Rattus norvegicus: one gene and its partners. The protein of the gene in region 3 purifies or fractionates together with the protein of the main gene of each other region. This does not show direct contact. Links are inferred from orthologs where the notes say so. Each region holds a gene or a part of one and is shown on either strand. Other genes may lie near its edges. The genes, in order: Ctnnd1, Jup, Cdh5 and Ctnna1.

Region 1 (3,562 bases), on a different chromosome or scaffold from region 3:
TCACTTCTTGCTTTTGTAAGATCCACAAAACTATGAACCTTCAACACTCAGAAATATAAACTATGAAGGATTATAAGATCCTTCTCCTCAGTGATGTCAACAAATGACTAAACGTTTGCTGGATTCCAGGCACTGTGCTAGGCACTAGTTCAAATCCTTACCAATTAACTCTTTGTTCCGAGCATCCACAGCCAGATTTCTCAGTGCCCCAGAGGCAGCTTTCACTACTCGCTCGTGTTCACTGGTCAGGAGGTCAGCTATGGCAGAGAGAGCCTTCTCTTGACGAAGAGCAGAGCGGATGTATCTGCCATACTAGGAAACACATGGGAAGCGGTAAAAAGATTACAAATGGTAGCAAACTAGTTATCTACACTCCCTATCTCCAAATCCATTTTCTTAGAGGTACTCACTGTCCAGCGCCCAGCACACAAGTTCTGGATAGCTCCAGCCGAGGCTTCTAGGATGGCAGGTGTCTTGCTCTCCTTAAGGAGTGAAATGTATATTCGCACCACTTCTGGCTGAAATAAGAGTTCATAGCCTGCACAGGAAAGGGCAAAACAGAAATCACTAATCAATGCCTACAAACCAGGCTCTGGCTGCCTGCAGTTCTGCTTCTCCATCATCAGGCCCCTCGAATTCCCTATCAGTCATGAGCAAATTCAGAGGCTTGATTTCATGTCTGTCTTCTCGGGTTTTTGTTTTGTCTTTTGAGACAGGGCCTTGCAATGTCAAGCAGACTGGCCTCAAACTCATAATCTTCCTGTCTTAACCTGTGAGTACTAGGACAACACATGTACCACGGATCTCTGTGAGTTTGAAGCCAGCCTGGTCTACAGACAAGTGTTCCAGGAAGCCATGGTTACATGGTGTGGTGCTGACTCACAAACAAAAAAACTACTACTAGCCCATGGTAAAAAAGAGAATAGACAGCAACGCAATTATATTCAATTCCTCTCTCCTTTCTCCTTGACTTGTACCTCATAGCTAACTTTAGCTTTGTTTGTTCCATAAGCAACCAGGCCTAATGATTCAACATCTGAAACAAAAAATTATTTCTAATTTAACTCAATCATTGTCCCCATCATGAGTATGACTAAATGATAAACAGCCTGAGATAACATAATTTAATTATCAACCTTTATATTTATAGAAAGCTAGCAAGTTTATATTCATTAATATACTGGATCCAAACATCCAAGCTGAGATAAAGGCATTTCTTCTAACAGTAAGGTTCAAGATCCAAAAACCTGCAGTGGCCATGCAGATAGCTAAGTCTCTTTTCTTATGTTTTTCTGAGGCATGCTCTCCCTGTGGATCCCAACATGGCTTTGAACTGATAGCAGTTCTCCTGCCTCAGCTACTCAAGTACTAAGGTTGCATACATGCACCATTATACCCAGCCTAGTTTCTAGCTCTAGACTAAATACTTGTGAATGAATTTTCCCAACACTTTTACTGTCACTTCAAATCTACTCAGTCAGAGAGAAATGTTCACATAGTGCATAAAACATGTTACCATATCCAAATTCTCTAGAGACAGAGAATAAGGAGGGTAGCTTACCCCGAGCAGGACTAGTTCTTTTAGGGAAATCCACTGTATCATTTGCTGGATCCTCGGTAGGCTTTTTCCCTATGAAAATGGAGAAAGGGCGGAGAGAACAGGGTAAAGAACTTTTTTTTTTAAAAGGAAAGATTCGACCTGACAGTTTTCATCCTTCAGTCAGAATCTTCAGATCATAGATGCAGCATCAAAAGAAGCAAAAGAAGGGAAAGCCCACACATAACTGTCCCAACAGGGATGATGCAGAAACAAGGAGGACCAAAACAGGCAGTAAACTGTATAAAAGGAAGGCCACTCCGGATGCTGTGAACTCAGTTCTGATAACATGGACTGCTGTCCAGAAACAGCATCTCAAAACCACAACCCAGAAGGTTTAAACTGATTCCAATGGTTCTCCTCAACTAAGTTTTCCTACATGCATCCACAGGGAAGGGTTAGACAAAGAGATATTAAGAAAGGTAAGAACCAAACCATGCAAGTTAGCAGACAAGCGCCTTAAAAGATTGCACTTACCTCTAGAGAACCACTCATCTTCCAGTGCATCACCAAGGTGGAAAGCGAGGAGAGAAATGAAGGAAGAAAACGCAGGAGAAAGATGTCAACAGGATCATGGGCAAGTACACAAGAAAGCAGAGGAGGAGGAAGAATAGGGAGGAAGGCCCCAGTTTAGCTCAGTTCTTGTCATTCACTGCCCTAGATGCCAAAACACTAACAATCATCACCATCCTCACATCACTACCACCAACCACCACCACTACTACCAACAACCACCACCACCAACCACCACCACCAACCACCAACAACAACCACCAACAACCACCACCAAACAACAACAACCACCACCAACCACCACCAACCACCACTACCACCAACCACCACCAACCACCACCACCACCAACCACCACTACCACCAACCACCACCAACAACAACAACCACCACCAACCACCACCAACAACAACAACCACCACCAACCACCACCAACCACCAACCACCACCAACCACCATCACTACCACCACTACCACCAACCACCATCACTACCACCACTACCACCACCACCAACAACAACAACCACCACCAACCACCACCAACCACCAACCACCACCAACCACCATCACTACCACCACTACCACCACCACCACCAACCACCAACCACCACCAACCACCATCACTACCACCACTACCACCACCACCACCAACAACCACTACCACCACCACCACCAGAGCAAAAGGACACATCTCCATAGGGAGACTTCCACACTATTTATTAAGTACCTATAAAGCTAAGTGTTCCTCTTGCCCCATATTAAAGAATAGGAACTAGATAAGACTCACCTTTGCCCTTCTTGGCCCCAAAGCAACTGGCAGCATGTGGCCCAGTACTGTTAGCCACACTAGGAAGTGCCTCCTGGTAACGCTCTGCCTGTGGGATTTCACGATGAACTTGATATGATAAGTTCCGAAGGAGGCAAACACAATTCTCCACAAGCTTAGGGACATAAAAGAAAAGGTTCAGTTGGAAAAGAGAATGCTTATGATGGTTTCCAAGAAAATCTAAGTCTCCATGATTTGAGTATTAAACTATCAATCCTAAATGCATGACTCAATCCGTCTTCTCTCAGATTGCCTTGTAAGAACCTCAAGATCCTCAAAATCCTTATCTTCATGCAAATAGAAGGACTAATTATAGACATTTAATGGCTTTTGCAACTAGTTGGTGACCCAATACATAGGTCACTGTTTTTTCTACTAAGAAAATATATAATCTGGAAGGCTACTAAGCAGCTTAACTATATATGGGACACACACACCTAAAGAAAACTATCTTTGGAGCTTAAGGGAAGCTCAGTCATTGACAGCACTTACTGCCCAAGTCGGACTGACCTTGACTGCACCTATGAACCCAGTGCTATAGGAACAGGGTTGCTGAAGGTGTCTGCTGCCAGCCCAGCTAAACAGCAACCTCCAGATTCAAGGTGAGACTGTGTCTCAGAAGAGTAAG
Region 2 (4,152 bases), on a different chromosome or scaffold from region 3:
AAGGCCCTGGATTTGGTCCTTAGCAGCCAAAAGAAAAAGGGGAAAGAAAAAAGAAATCCTTCCAGAGTTGTAGTAGAGCCTAACAGCAGAATGAGGTCTGAGCTTAGCCCTCTCTTGAGTCTAGCAACACTGGGCAAGTTGCTATCCTTCCCTGAGTTTCTGAAGAAGACATTAAAGTGCGCCTGCCTCGGGCTGGAGAGATGGCTCAGTGGTTAAGAGCATTGCCTGCTCTTCCAGAGGTCCTGAGTTCAATTCCCAGCAACCACATGGTGGCTCACAACCATCTGTAATGAGATCTGATACCCTCTTCTGGTATGTCTGAAGACAGCTACAGTGTGTTCATATACATAAAATAAATAAATAAATCTTTAAAAAAAAAAAAAAGTGCGCCTGCCTCTGTGAGCATGGTTAGTGGCGCTTGGTACCAGACAGTCTTCTGGCTTTGAGTTACCATCAGTCAAGTACTTTCTGGGTAGCTAGGTTTATTAATTCCTGAGGTCGCTGAGCCAGGAAGGTGCTTTGACGCAGGCTGCACAGGTAAGGAGACACTGCTCAGGGATTCAAACTATCTCAGTCCAAGTCCCTGTTCTCAGAGCTGACCCCTTAGACTGTCTCCCTAGATCACTGTCCTTCTGTGGACCAGCCAAATGTGTCACCTTGTCCTAAAGCAGCTCTGCAGGACGACAGGCCTCCCTCTCATAGGCAATGACCTGTGGGCCCCCAGGAAGGAAAACAGTCAAGCAGGCCCCGCCTGACCTTCCGTTCCCACAGGCTGCATTCTCCAAGCTCAACCTTAGCAGGCCAGACGGCGGCTCCAGAGGGAATGGGGTGGAGCTCGGGTGCGGGGGAGGCTTCTGTCACCCAAGCCCAGACTTGATCTGGTGAGAAATGACTAATCGGATCCTACCTTTGCTTCCCCTCCCTCCTGTCCGTCAGAAGCCAGCTTGGGCCGGGCAGCTCATAGCCCTACTTCTTCCTCAGTACTGTCTTTTCACCAGAGCCACGAACCAGATTTGCTAAACTATTCATTTAGTTCACCTAATGACAATGCCTACCCCTCCTCCTCCTTGACACGGAGAGGACATGAGCCTAAAACTAATGCCCCCAGTTCTTCCTAGAGGTGGTCACACATATTTTACCAACCACAGGACCTAAGGCGAGATTACGGGGGATATGTCTCCCACCCCCACTCTTCTATTCACAACCAAGCACCACCTCAGCTTCCAGGAGAATCAGAGCAAACAGTGCTCACGACCCCCACCCCATCTTCCCTCTGCCCCCCCCCCCCGCTAGCGTTGTCATTCCTGCTCTGTCCCCCCAAGAAGACTGGACTCCAAATGCCTATGAAAAGGCCAATCTTCAGATTTGTACAGAAGAGTGCAGCAAGCCGAGTAGAAGTTGACAATTCCAGCTGGAGAGGAGCTCTCAGCACAGGGAACCAAGGGGAGGGCTCACACTGTTCACCCTGAGGGTGCCTGGCATGGCAGAAGCCTTCCATAGCAAAGACTTCCTCCTGTCCCACTTTCCCCGCCAAACACTCAGTTAAAGAGTGGGTGGAGGAGGGACTTCTGGCAAGTCCTCTAGAAAGGACGCACCTTCATAATTCAAACCCAGTGAACAGCAAGCAACATTCCTGCCCTATGCTACCCTGCCTCAATGGTCAGCCAGCTAAATAAGCTGGGGGATGGAACGGGGGAGTTGGGGAAAGATTAATCACTCTTCCCAATCTTCCTAGTTTGGCCCAGCCCTGCCCCAACCCCATTCCTGGGGAAGGGGCAGAGCTTGGGAGGAGAGGCACTTAGCAGGCCTCATATAAGGGGGTGTGGTGGTCCCGTGAGGATGCGAAAAGGGAAGGAAGAAGACACTTCCCTTTTCAGCAACGCCCCCACCCACCCCCATTGGTCCCTACCTCGGGCCTTAGGGGCCTAGCAAACAGGATGGAGGTGGGGGCAGGGAGAACCGGGTCAAAGCGCACAGGCTGTGTTCAGCTTGGAGCTGACCAGGGAAGAGGCTTTCCTCTAAGAAGTACCACCAAGCCTTGAATCAGCTCTCAACAAGGAGACGGGGAAAATCCTAGAAAAGGCCCCCACGGTTACTTTCTCCTGGAAAGTTTGTTTGGAGTGATTTCTCAACAATAATGGGTTGCAGAAATCAAAAGATATCGCTGTTTCCCTACCAACACTCTGGAAACCACAAGCTACTAAAATCTGGGCGAGTGTTTCTTAATTTTCTCTACCGGCCCAGACTCCAGGCCATGCCACCAGGTCAGACAGACATCGGTAGGGCACTGAGCCCAGACCCTTCACCAGTTCCCCCGTCACCCCATCCACCTCCGTAAGAGAAGCCATAGACCGGCGTACACTAGAGCGGAGGGAGGCGCCACAGGTCCAGCTCGGAGCTACAGGGCAGGGCCTCGGTCCTCCAAGCGCTCACCTGCTCTGCTCAGCAGGTGGGAATCGCGTCTCTGGGAAAATGTGCACTCGGCCCCCACAGTTGGGTAAGCTGGGCGCAGACAATAGGGCCCCACCCAGGCCTGGGGGAGTAGGGAGGGAGGGAAAGCGAGGATGACGCGTGGGGTGGGGTGAGGGTGGCCCCAAAGAGACTAGGCAGCAAGTTTCCCGAGCGGTAAATTCCTGTCACCGTGGGATCTGGGACCAGGCGGAGCGGGTCAAAGTCTGCCCGGTCAGCTCCAGGGGAGAGTCAGCGACGCCGCGTCGGGCAAGCTCCGCGGGCCCTGGGGGAGGCGCGAACTCCGAGGCACCTGCCCTAGTTCCTCCCCGCCCTTCTCAGACCTGCGGTTCACCGAGCCTGGAGGGGCGCTCCAACCCAGATCGCTTGTCCCAGGGGTCCCGTGCCCCGGACCCCAGTGCGCCCCCTGTCGCTGGTGTAGGATGCACTCCCTGGCACCCGCCCTCACCTGCCCTGAAACCGCTGGAACCAACCTCTCGGCCGCTTGCCCTACTCTACCCTCAGTGATACGTACCCCTATCCGGTGTACCTGAGCGTGGAGCCGGGCCGAGCCGGGTCGGGGTCGGGTCTGGCCGGGAGACAGCCGGCGCAGGCAGCGAACTGAGCTCGGGGCGCTCGGGCGGCGGCTGCTCCGGACTCTGGCCAAGGCAGCAACTCAGTAACCGAACAAAAGGCAAAGGGACCTGACAGCCAAGCCACACCTCTCGCCCCCTTGAAGCTCCGCCCCCTAGGGAGACTCCCACCCTCTGAGGTTATCTCACTGGCTGCCCAGCCTGACTATCCTATTGAGGGGCGGAGCCTCACGCCGGGACCTCTACCACGGCCGCCTCTGTTTATGCGCTCACCATTGGCCCCAGGGACTGCCAGTCGACTCTGGGGTGGACGCCAACTTGAGGTCTCATCCTCACTCTGCATCTATTGGCAAATAGAAAGTTTCTTCCTTATGATTGGACAGAGGGCTGTCAGTAAGACTAAGGCAAAAGCCAATGGAACAGGTGGGGCGTTACTTGCCCCACCCTAGCCCTGAGCAGGTAAGACTCATTATTCTCCCCTTCCCCCTACCTGTCCAACAGGTGAGTCAGGGGGAAGCATGGGAAAGGACTGACGCCTTCACTAGCCAGCCAACTCAGCGTCAGGATTATTCATTCTTGCCTCAACATAGTAATAAGATGTTTGTAAAGCATTTCATAGGCTTTGTGCTAGGTTGGGATTTCTCCCCCTACAAAAGATGGAGTGTTCCCGGTTCTCTTCTGTTTAGAATTAGAAGGCCTGGTTTGGGTTCTCCCCTTAATCTTTGTATGACCTTAGGCCAGCTAGTATACTTTTCACCCTGTATCTAAGTGGGTTCATTAGCTTTATCTATCTTGGGTTGGAGAGATTAAATAAACTTTGTAGCTTAAACAGCTGAGGAATGTCAGTATTTAAGCCAGTGAGATGGTCCGTTCGAGACAGTTCTTAAAAAGTGCTGGAGCAGGCAGCCAGGCAGTGGTGACACGGGCCTTTAACCTTAACCTCGGCACTCAAGGAGGCAGAGGCAGGCAGCTCTCTGAGTTAGAGGCCACCCTGGTCTACAAAGAGGGTTCAAAATGATCCGCATTAAGAGAATCTTTAATGGGCTTGTGTGATGTCTCAGTTGGGCAAGTGTGATGACCTGAGTTTGATACCTGGTGGAGGTAGACCAAG
Region 3 (3,562 bases):
GGCCTGCCGGATCATCTCAGGACCCAAGGTCAGGAGCAGCTGACTGTCTCCTTCCTCCCTGGACAGGCCTGGGGAGGGGCTGGGGAGTAGCTGGGCATTGGGTAGATGTGAGGGAGACTCAGCAGTGCTGGGCCTCCTGAGAGCAGGCATAATGGATCAGTTACAGCCTCCCTCTGGACTGGGCTTGAAGTCCTGTTCAATAGCTCATGCCATCCAGTCTTCTGCCATCAGACAGACAGATAGCCTTACCAGGGGCTCGGAGACCCTTGCGGAAGACTAGAAGTTTAGCATAGTCAGTTTTGCTTGGCAGTTTTGAAGGGACAGGAGGTCTGGAATAGATTGGGAGTGTGTGTGTGTGTGTGTGTGTGTGTGTGTGTGTGTGTGTGTGTGTGTGTGGTGGGGGGGGGGCAGGATGGGATCCCAGAGAGAATACTAGTCTCGCTTTTCCAGTTTTTTGGAGTGGCCATCAATAAGATATGTTTCTGTTCCTGGATATTTAAGGGGCCTGAAATTTGCTACCTTGGGGATGGAAGTGTCTTTGGTACCCACAGGCAAGGGCCACTGGGTTGGAGAGTCTGTGTCACACCTTGGAAATCAGGGAAGGCAATGTCGGGTGTCTGATCCAGGTTGCAATGAGATTGGGTCCCCAGGCCCAAAGACCACAAACCCTAGATGATGAGCTCTTCCTGAGGATCTGAGCCATACAGCTCTGCCAGCATCTTGAACCTGGGTCCCCAGTCATTGAGGAAGTCATAGTCGATGTCAGAGTCGGAGGAATTGGTGCTCAGGGAGCTGAGGGACTCTGCGATGGACTCTGTGCCCTCGTAGCCGTAGATGTGCAGTGTATCGTAGGGGGGACCACCGCCATCATTGTCTGCCTCTTCTTTCTTCACCTCGATCATGGTGGCCATCTCTCTGGGCCCTCCGTGCAGGCTAGGCGCCAGTCGTGGAGGCTTCTGCACCTGTGTGTATACTGCTGGCCGGGCATCCATCGTGGACCGCAGAGGCTTGTTGGAGCCGGTGCGCACAGAATTAAGCACAGACACGTCGTAGCTTGTGGTGTCCATCTCGCCACCGCCCTCCTCGTCGTAGGTGACCAACTGCTCATGAATCTCAAGCGCACTCTTGCTATGAGCATGCGCCTGCTTCCGGAGCCGCCTCCGCAGGAAGATCAGCAAGGTGATCACTGCTAGCCAAGAAGTCCGAAGAAGAGATGTGGGTCAGACAGGTTCATTGGATCAGCCTAGACTCCCAGGGCCACTACTATGACTGGGCAAACAGATTTGGTTTGGCCCAAAATATAAGTCAGTGGCATATACCTACTGAAGACTGGGTGGGAATGGGTGTGGGAAGGTCCCCTGATCCTTGAGCTGTGGAGAGCTCCCTCAATGAGACCCAAGCCATCAAGTTTTCTAGCCTTGAGTTAGTTACTAATTTGTTAAATACAAAGAGTGACCCTGGCCTCCCCGAGCCCCAGTTTTCCTGTCTGCAGTGTGGATACATTGAATGCCCCCGTGACACTGGTATTTTGCGATTCTGTGATGTGGGTGGCATCAATACTTTCATCATCATCATCACCACCATCATCATCATCATCACCATCATCATTATCATCATCACCACCACCACCACCACCACCACCACCACCACCACCACCACCACCACCATCATCCATGAAAGAGAAGTCAGTCTCTAATGTCTCTGGCACAGAGGTCCAGGAAATGAACACACACAGTGGGAAGTTCAGAGGCCTGGAGCAAAGGCTGCCTGTACCTCATGACATCCTCGCTTCTCTGTGTGCGCCTCAGGGCTGGTACAGCATAGAGAAAGTACTTTCAAGAAGGAACATCCGCTCTCAATGGGAGAAGTCAGACTCTGCTGGGTGCTAGTGTAAAATGCCTTTCCTGGCAGCTTGCTCTTCACAAAGCCTTGTCTGAGATCTGTTTCTTAGGCAATGTCAGACCTAGGTGAAGCCTAAAGTGCCCCAAAGTGACAAGGCTCAAAATGAAACAAAAGCAAAAGCAAAAGCAAAACAAAACAAAACAAAAAAATGCAAACCAAAGCAAAAATGGACTCTGGAGGAATTCTAAAAAAGCAAAAAAAAAAAAAAACCCTCCAGCGACATTCCAGGCTAGAAGTCTCAAAACTTTCCATTATAAAGGAATTTCAGAAACAATTAAAGCTAGAAATGGTGGCACACACCTTTAATCCCAGCACTCTGAGGGCAAAAGCAAGTGAATTGGAGGTCCACATGCTCTACAGAGTGAGTTCCAGGCCAGTCAGGGGCTGTACAGTGAGATCTTGTCTCAAAATAGATGAGTAATACAGTAAATAATCATTTTAATGTACATCGGTGCCCCAAACAACACCCAGAATATAGTATGCACTCAAAATATATTTAGCAAATGAAGGAATGCCAAGTGTAGATTCATTTTCTTTTTTGTTTTGAAATTGAAGGTGATATTGAACCTGGTGCTTGACACATGCTAGTGACCCTGTCACTGCAATACACCAGGTTAATTTGAAATGGAGTTAGCTTGAAGAATGATTTTATGGCTCATCCTCCTTTCCCTTATTCCATATAGCACCAGGTTAGTGGGGTTACCTATTTATATCTCTGTATCCTATACATACAAGAACTGTGAACTCCAGAGTAGTGCAGGATAGGGCCAGAACCCTGCCTCTTCTCTGAAGCCCTCTTAATGTCTCCTCCCTGTCTATGAGACACTGACCTGTGATGGTGAGGATGCACAGAAAGATGGCTACCAGTGCCTGGATGCTGACACCCGCCTGTGCGGCCATCTCCTCACAGAAGGTGAACTCGCCCTGTTCGTTGCATTTGCACACAGCCACTGTTAGCGTGCCGGTTCCAGTCAGGCTGGGCATCCCATTGTCGGAGATGAGCACAGGCAGGTAGTGGAACTTGGTATGCTCCCGATTAAACTGTCCATACTTGACTGTGATGTTGGCGGTATTGTCTGCAAGCATCAAGACCACAGAGTGAGGCTCTGCCAGGAGCACCTGCCCTCTTGTCCCATGGGGGGAAGCTGCCTCTTTCTGCGTGATTTCATTGCCCTCTTTGTTTCCCGGCCTCATGTTTGAACCCTTTAAGCACAGGCTTGTCCCTTTGCAGAGGATGTACTTGGGTGACTGCTTTGACCCAGCCTAAGGGTGGCCAAGTCAGCGTGTAAGACCCCAATTTTCTGTTTCTGTGGTCAGTGGGTACACATCACTTTTTCCAAACCCATCCCAACAGGGGCTTTTGCTCAGCTCATTGCTGTATTGTTTTACACACACACACACACACACACACACACACACACACACACACACAGATACACCCCCACACACACTGCTGTCACTGCTATTCAGTACTCAGTGGCTATGGGCAAAGGAGAGATGGTCTACTTTTTTTTTTTTTTTTTTTGTAGGTTCCTGGGAGGTTGTAACACTAATGGTCAGAGGACTTACTTAGCCACACAGCCAAAAGCAAATTGGGAGAAATGAGAGACTCCAATATATAGAACATTTGTATGCAAACGACTCTGAGACCAACAGACCT
Region 4 (4,215 bases), on a different chromosome or scaffold from region 3:
GGAAGCAGTGAAAGGCATGTAAACAAAACACTCTAGGGCGGATCCTGTCCCTGACTAGATTTGGGCAGGGCAAGGTTGAAGAAAGCTCCAGTTGCCCTGAACAGCAGTTAGACTGTAATCAATTACCTCATCTGTCATTGACTGCCCTAAGCTTAGACTGAGAAAGACTTTCTTCCTCCTTCATTCAGTGCAGCATCTAATTTGCCCTCCTTACCAGATACCAACCAAAGGTTGGAGAGGGCATGAGCCTTGCCTTGAATAGATTTACAGGGCTCACTTCCCAACAAGGCCTGCAAACAGGGCTATCAATAAGTTACAACGCAAACAGAAGTTACTAAAAAACTTAAACACAAAATTTGCTACCAGAAATGAAAACGCTGGCTCTTGAGAAAAGAGTTCAATGCTTCAGAAGCTTTACCCAGATGCCTGGATGCCACCTCTACCCAATTTGTATCTGGATCCTTTCCACTCATCCAGGTCACCTTTACCCACATGACCTTCCCCACTAACTCCTTGCCTTTACACACACACCAATTCAAATTTTCTCTAAGCACCAGCAAGGAATAAAACAATGTTCAGATCGTGAAAGCCCTATATCATCTTACAGTTTTAGAATAAAATCTAAATCTGTGACCTGGCCTTTGCCTTCCCTGGCAACCTTCTCCCTACTTCAGTACTAACAATAAACAGATCTCCTCTAAACCTGTAGGCCTCCAAATGCCTAGCCAATGCTCAGGCTACTTACACCTGCTTCGGATCCTATTCCTTCATCCTGTCTAGGTCTCAGCCAGTACACAACCACCGACACCTTCAACAAGCAGGGAGAGCTAGCTGTACTATCACTAATGTGACTTTCTTTAAAATTACAAGATATAAGGAGACCCATGTGGGTCAGGAGAGAAACTACACTCAAAATAAAAAACTGGACGTTTGCGGCTAAGGTTGATGACAGAGGTAGGGGTGTGCAGCTCAAATATAGAGCACATGCCTAGCAAGCACAGCTCTAGGTTTGTTCTCCAATACAACAGTGTGGGGTTTGATGAGAAAAGGCACAAGGCGGTGAGTGATACTCAACTAGGAGGGGAAAAAAGCCACCCTTCATCTCTGATCACCATATAAAATGTTTCTAATGGGAATGGAGATGGGTGTCACACAACTGATATTGGAAACCAATATATTTGGTTAGAATCATATGCAAGAAAAGGAGGGGTTGAAAAGTAAAGGGGGGAAAAAACCAGAATATCACCATTCCACTTAAATGCCCTTTTAGATTTCCCTATTCCTTCTGTCGCATTACTTCAACTCATGCTTCACCCAGTTCAAAAGCCACCACCTTCCAGAACAGCTTATAAACCTAGTTAACACCCCCAACCATGCTCCCACAAGTTTCTGTTGTTTGCATTATTATACAATATGACCCAGACAGGTGTGATGGCACACATCTAAACCCCAACACTCAGGAAGCTTAAGCTAGTTTGAGGCTTCACAGTGAGATCCAGAATGGAAAAAGAAAAAAGGATATGACACTTGAGAAGCTTCCAGGCCTCAAAGAGAATTTTAAAAACCTGGTCTTTTTTTTTTTTTTTTTTTTAGCTTAGTTTAAGGCAGGAAGTATGAACAATTAAACAGAGGCCACCAATTATTTCCCCACTCAATCCTTTTGTAAAACAAAACAAATTCCATTTCATGAGGTAACATCCACCAGTAGTCTTTAAAAACCAACGCTAAACACAAAATAACCTTCTTAAAACACCTAAAAGATGCAAAACAATGATGAAACAGATTTACAGCATAAATTATTCTAAGTTCCATAGACACACACACACACACACACACACACACACACACGCACACTTAAAATAAAACCAAACGTTATGAAGGCACAGAAGTATCAATCCTCGATTTGAGCCAACCGCTCACTGAATTATTGGGGTGGCCACTGCTTGAAAACCAAGGTTACAAATCCAGTCAACAACATCCCCGCCCCCCAAGTTCTACACACATATTAACAAGTTCCTTTTAAAGTCGAAAGGCGGGTCATTGACATCGCAGGCTGGCGATGCCCGCCCTCGGGATTCTGAGGCAGGGAAACCGAGCGATCCAGGTCAGACTGGGCTACTTAGTTAGCAAGATCCGCTCTCAGTAATCAAATGTTAGTAACTCTAATGCTACTCCTGAAAACTAAGAGTAATGTCAGTCAGGTTTAGCAGCAAAAGAGGCTGAGTAATTTTAAGATAAAAATTAAACTCCATGCCACAAGTCCACACGGGTGTGGCGCACCTTAAGGAAAAGAGCGCTGGAGAACAGGAAACTACGACTTCCATTCTCCATGGGTCGGGCTGGAATGTCCGCTCCTCCGACCTCTAGTCCCGCAAACCACCAAGTTTCAGCCGCGGGCAGGGGGAGGGGAGTGGCCGACACAAATCCTCGAAACAATCGCGTCCCTAAAGCGCCCCACAGCCCGACCGCCAGGAACACGCCGCGGTTGTCCCTCAGTGAGGGAGACGGCCTGAGGCGCGACGCCGATCCCGCGCGCGCTCCCTGCTCCGGGAACAAAGTTTAGAAAGAGGGAGAAAGTTTTCCAAGGAAGCGCCCCGGCGGTCGCCCTGCTTCCCGAGCGTCGGGCTCCGCCCGCCCAGGCCCAGGCTGCTCAGGGAAGCCGCCCTAACCCGACGCTCCAGGGCGGCGGCGGCCGAAAGCCCGAGCCGGACACCCGGGACCCCGGCCTGAGGAGACCCGCGCCCCACCAGGGGGCCCCGCGCACCCCGAGGGAAGGTACGAAGAGTTACCTGCGGCGAACGGGGCGAGCGCTGGACGACTCCTGAGGCGCCAAGCCGACGGCCACCGCTTTGTCTCCCGCCCGTCCGGCTCCCAGGAGGAAATGGGCCGCCCTGCGCCCCCGCCCCCGGCCCGCCCCGCGCCGCGCCGCGCCCGCCCTTCCCGGCACCTCCCTCCGCGCGCTCTTCCCGGCGCCTCCCGAGGCCTCCTCACCGCTGGTCCCGGCCTGGCGCAGCCGGCGCTTTCTAGGGAGAGCCTCCCACCCGGAAGGTAGCCTGGCAACTCCAGGCCCGGACCCCCAGAAGTCCTTTTTGTATGGCCTTTGGGCACGGAGACCCCGGACCCCCGACGGGAAGGAGGGGCGGAGACTCGGGGAACAGCCCGCGGCGGGGAAAGGCGGGCGGAGGGCAGGTGAGTCACGGCTCCCGGCTCAGGTGAGTCTCGGGGCGCGGCCCCGGAAGGCCCCGCCCCGTCCGGCTCCCGGAGACCGCGCGGCGACGCAGGGTTCGCGGAACGCACTGCTGTGACCAAGTACCCCGTATCCTAGTCCAAGGCGTCCAGAAAAGGGGGCAACCTTCTGCTTTGCTTTAGGAGAAGAAACACACCAAGTAAAAGTTCCACCTCTCCGGGCACAGTGGAACGGGAACCTCAGGATCTGTTTTGGTCTTTTTTTCTTTTGTTTTGTGGTGTTTGTTTTGTTGTGTTATTTTATTTTTGAAGTAGGGTCTTACATAGCTCAGGCCGGTTTCCAACTGGCTGTGTAAGAAAGAATGACCTAAAAACTTTTTTTTATTATTACAGCAATGTTTTTAGTCTCAGTGTTCCGGAGGCAGAGACAGGCCAATCTCTGATCCGTGAGTTTCTGAGCTTGTGTGGAAATCAAGACGTGCGGTTTCTCTTTCACTATGTGGATCCTGGGGATTGAATTTACCCAAGTGCCAATTTACCCTGAATTCCTAATCCTCCTGCACACCCCCGCAACTCCTGAGATTATATTATAGGTCTGCACCATTACACCTGGTCTTTTAGAGCCTCTTAAAAAGAGTGGGAAAATGAGAGAGATGGCTCTGTGGGTAAAGGTGTTTGCCACTCTGCCAACAACTATCCTCGCAACCTGAGTTGTGGAAAGACAGAATGAAGTCCACAGAGTTGCCCTATAACTTCCACACTGGTACAGATGGCATATCCACCCATGTACATAGAACACATAATAATTTGAATTTTAAGAAAAGACAATTGGAGATGTCTCGGTGATAAAGTGCTTGCCTAGTATACCCTGGATTTAGTCTTCAGCACTACAAAAACAAAAACAAAAAAGACATACCTTCACAAGGCCATTCTTGTCCAACCACTTATTCTGTTTCTACCTTTGGGGTTTTGCCTCCCATAGTCCTCTCTGACTGCAGTGTCTATGCTTTCCCCTTACTTCACTTGACT

Evidence for each region.
Region 1: the proteins of Cdh5 (region 3) and Ctnnd1 purify together in Homo sapiens (affinity purification with western blotting; 3 studies listed by BioGRID and IntAct, counting the BioPlex papers as one, with this or other methods). This does not show direct contact. The link is inferred for Rattus norvegicus from reciprocal best matches to the Homo sapiens genes CDH5 and CTNND1.
Region 2: the proteins of Cdh5 (region 3) and Jup purify together in Homo sapiens (affinity purification with western blotting; 3 studies listed by BioGRID and IntAct, with this or other methods). This does not show direct contact. The link is inferred for Rattus norvegicus from reciprocal best matches to the Homo sapiens genes CDH5 and JUP.
Region 4: the proteins of Cdh5 (region 3) and Ctnna1 purify together in Homo sapiens (affinity purification with western blotting; 4 studies listed by BioGRID and IntAct, counting the BioPlex papers as one, with this or other methods). This does not show direct contact. The link is inferred for Rattus norvegicus from reciprocal best matches to the Homo sapiens genes CDH5 and CTNNA1.

What each region holds. Positions count from the first base shown.
Region 1 is NC_086021.1:90,099,676-90,103,237, forward strand, and holds part of Ctnnd1 (catenin delta-1), read right to left. Parts: intron 3,050-3,562; coding exon 2,896-3,049; intron 2,093-2,895; coding exon of another isoform or gene 2,075-2,092; intron 1,631-2,074; coding exon 1,562-1,630; intron 539-1,561; coding exon 411-538; intron 313-410; coding exon 162-312; intron 1-161. UniProt on the Homo sapiens protein: Key regulator of cell-cell adhesion that associates with and regulates the cell adhesion properties of both C-, E- and N-cadherins, being critical for their surface stability.
Region 2 is NC_086028.1:85,824,611-85,828,762, forward strand, and holds the start of Jup (junction plakoglobin), read right to left. Parts: upstream 2,820-4,152; 5' UTR 2,434-2,819; exon of another isoform or gene 2,361-2,433; intron 1-2,360. UniProt on the Homo sapiens protein: Common junctional plaque protein. The membrane-associated plaques are architectural elements in an important strategic position to influence the arrangement and function of both the cytoskeleton and the cells within the tissue.
Region 3 is NC_086037.1:822,797-826,358, forward strand, and holds the end of Cdh5 (cadherin-5), read right to left. Parts: intron 2,979-3,562; coding exon 2,733-2,978; intron 1,190-2,732; coding exon of another isoform or gene 1,187-1,189; coding exon 669-1,186; 3' UTR 511-668; downstream 1-510. UniProt on the Homo sapiens protein: Cadherins are calcium-dependent cell adhesion proteins. They preferentially interact with themselves in a homophilic manner in connecting cells; cadherins may thus contribute to the sorting of heterogeneous cell types.
Region 4 is NC_086036.1:27,001,240-27,005,454, reverse strand, and holds the start of Ctnna1 (catenin alpha-1), read right to left. Parts: upstream 2,856-4,215; 5' UTR 2,790-2,855; intron 2,615-2,789; exon of another isoform or gene 2,281-2,614; intron 1-2,280. UniProt on the Homo sapiens protein: Associates with the cytoplasmic domain of a variety of cadherins. The association of catenins to cadherins produces a complex which is linked to the actin filament network, and which seems to be of primary importance for cadherins cell-adhesion properties.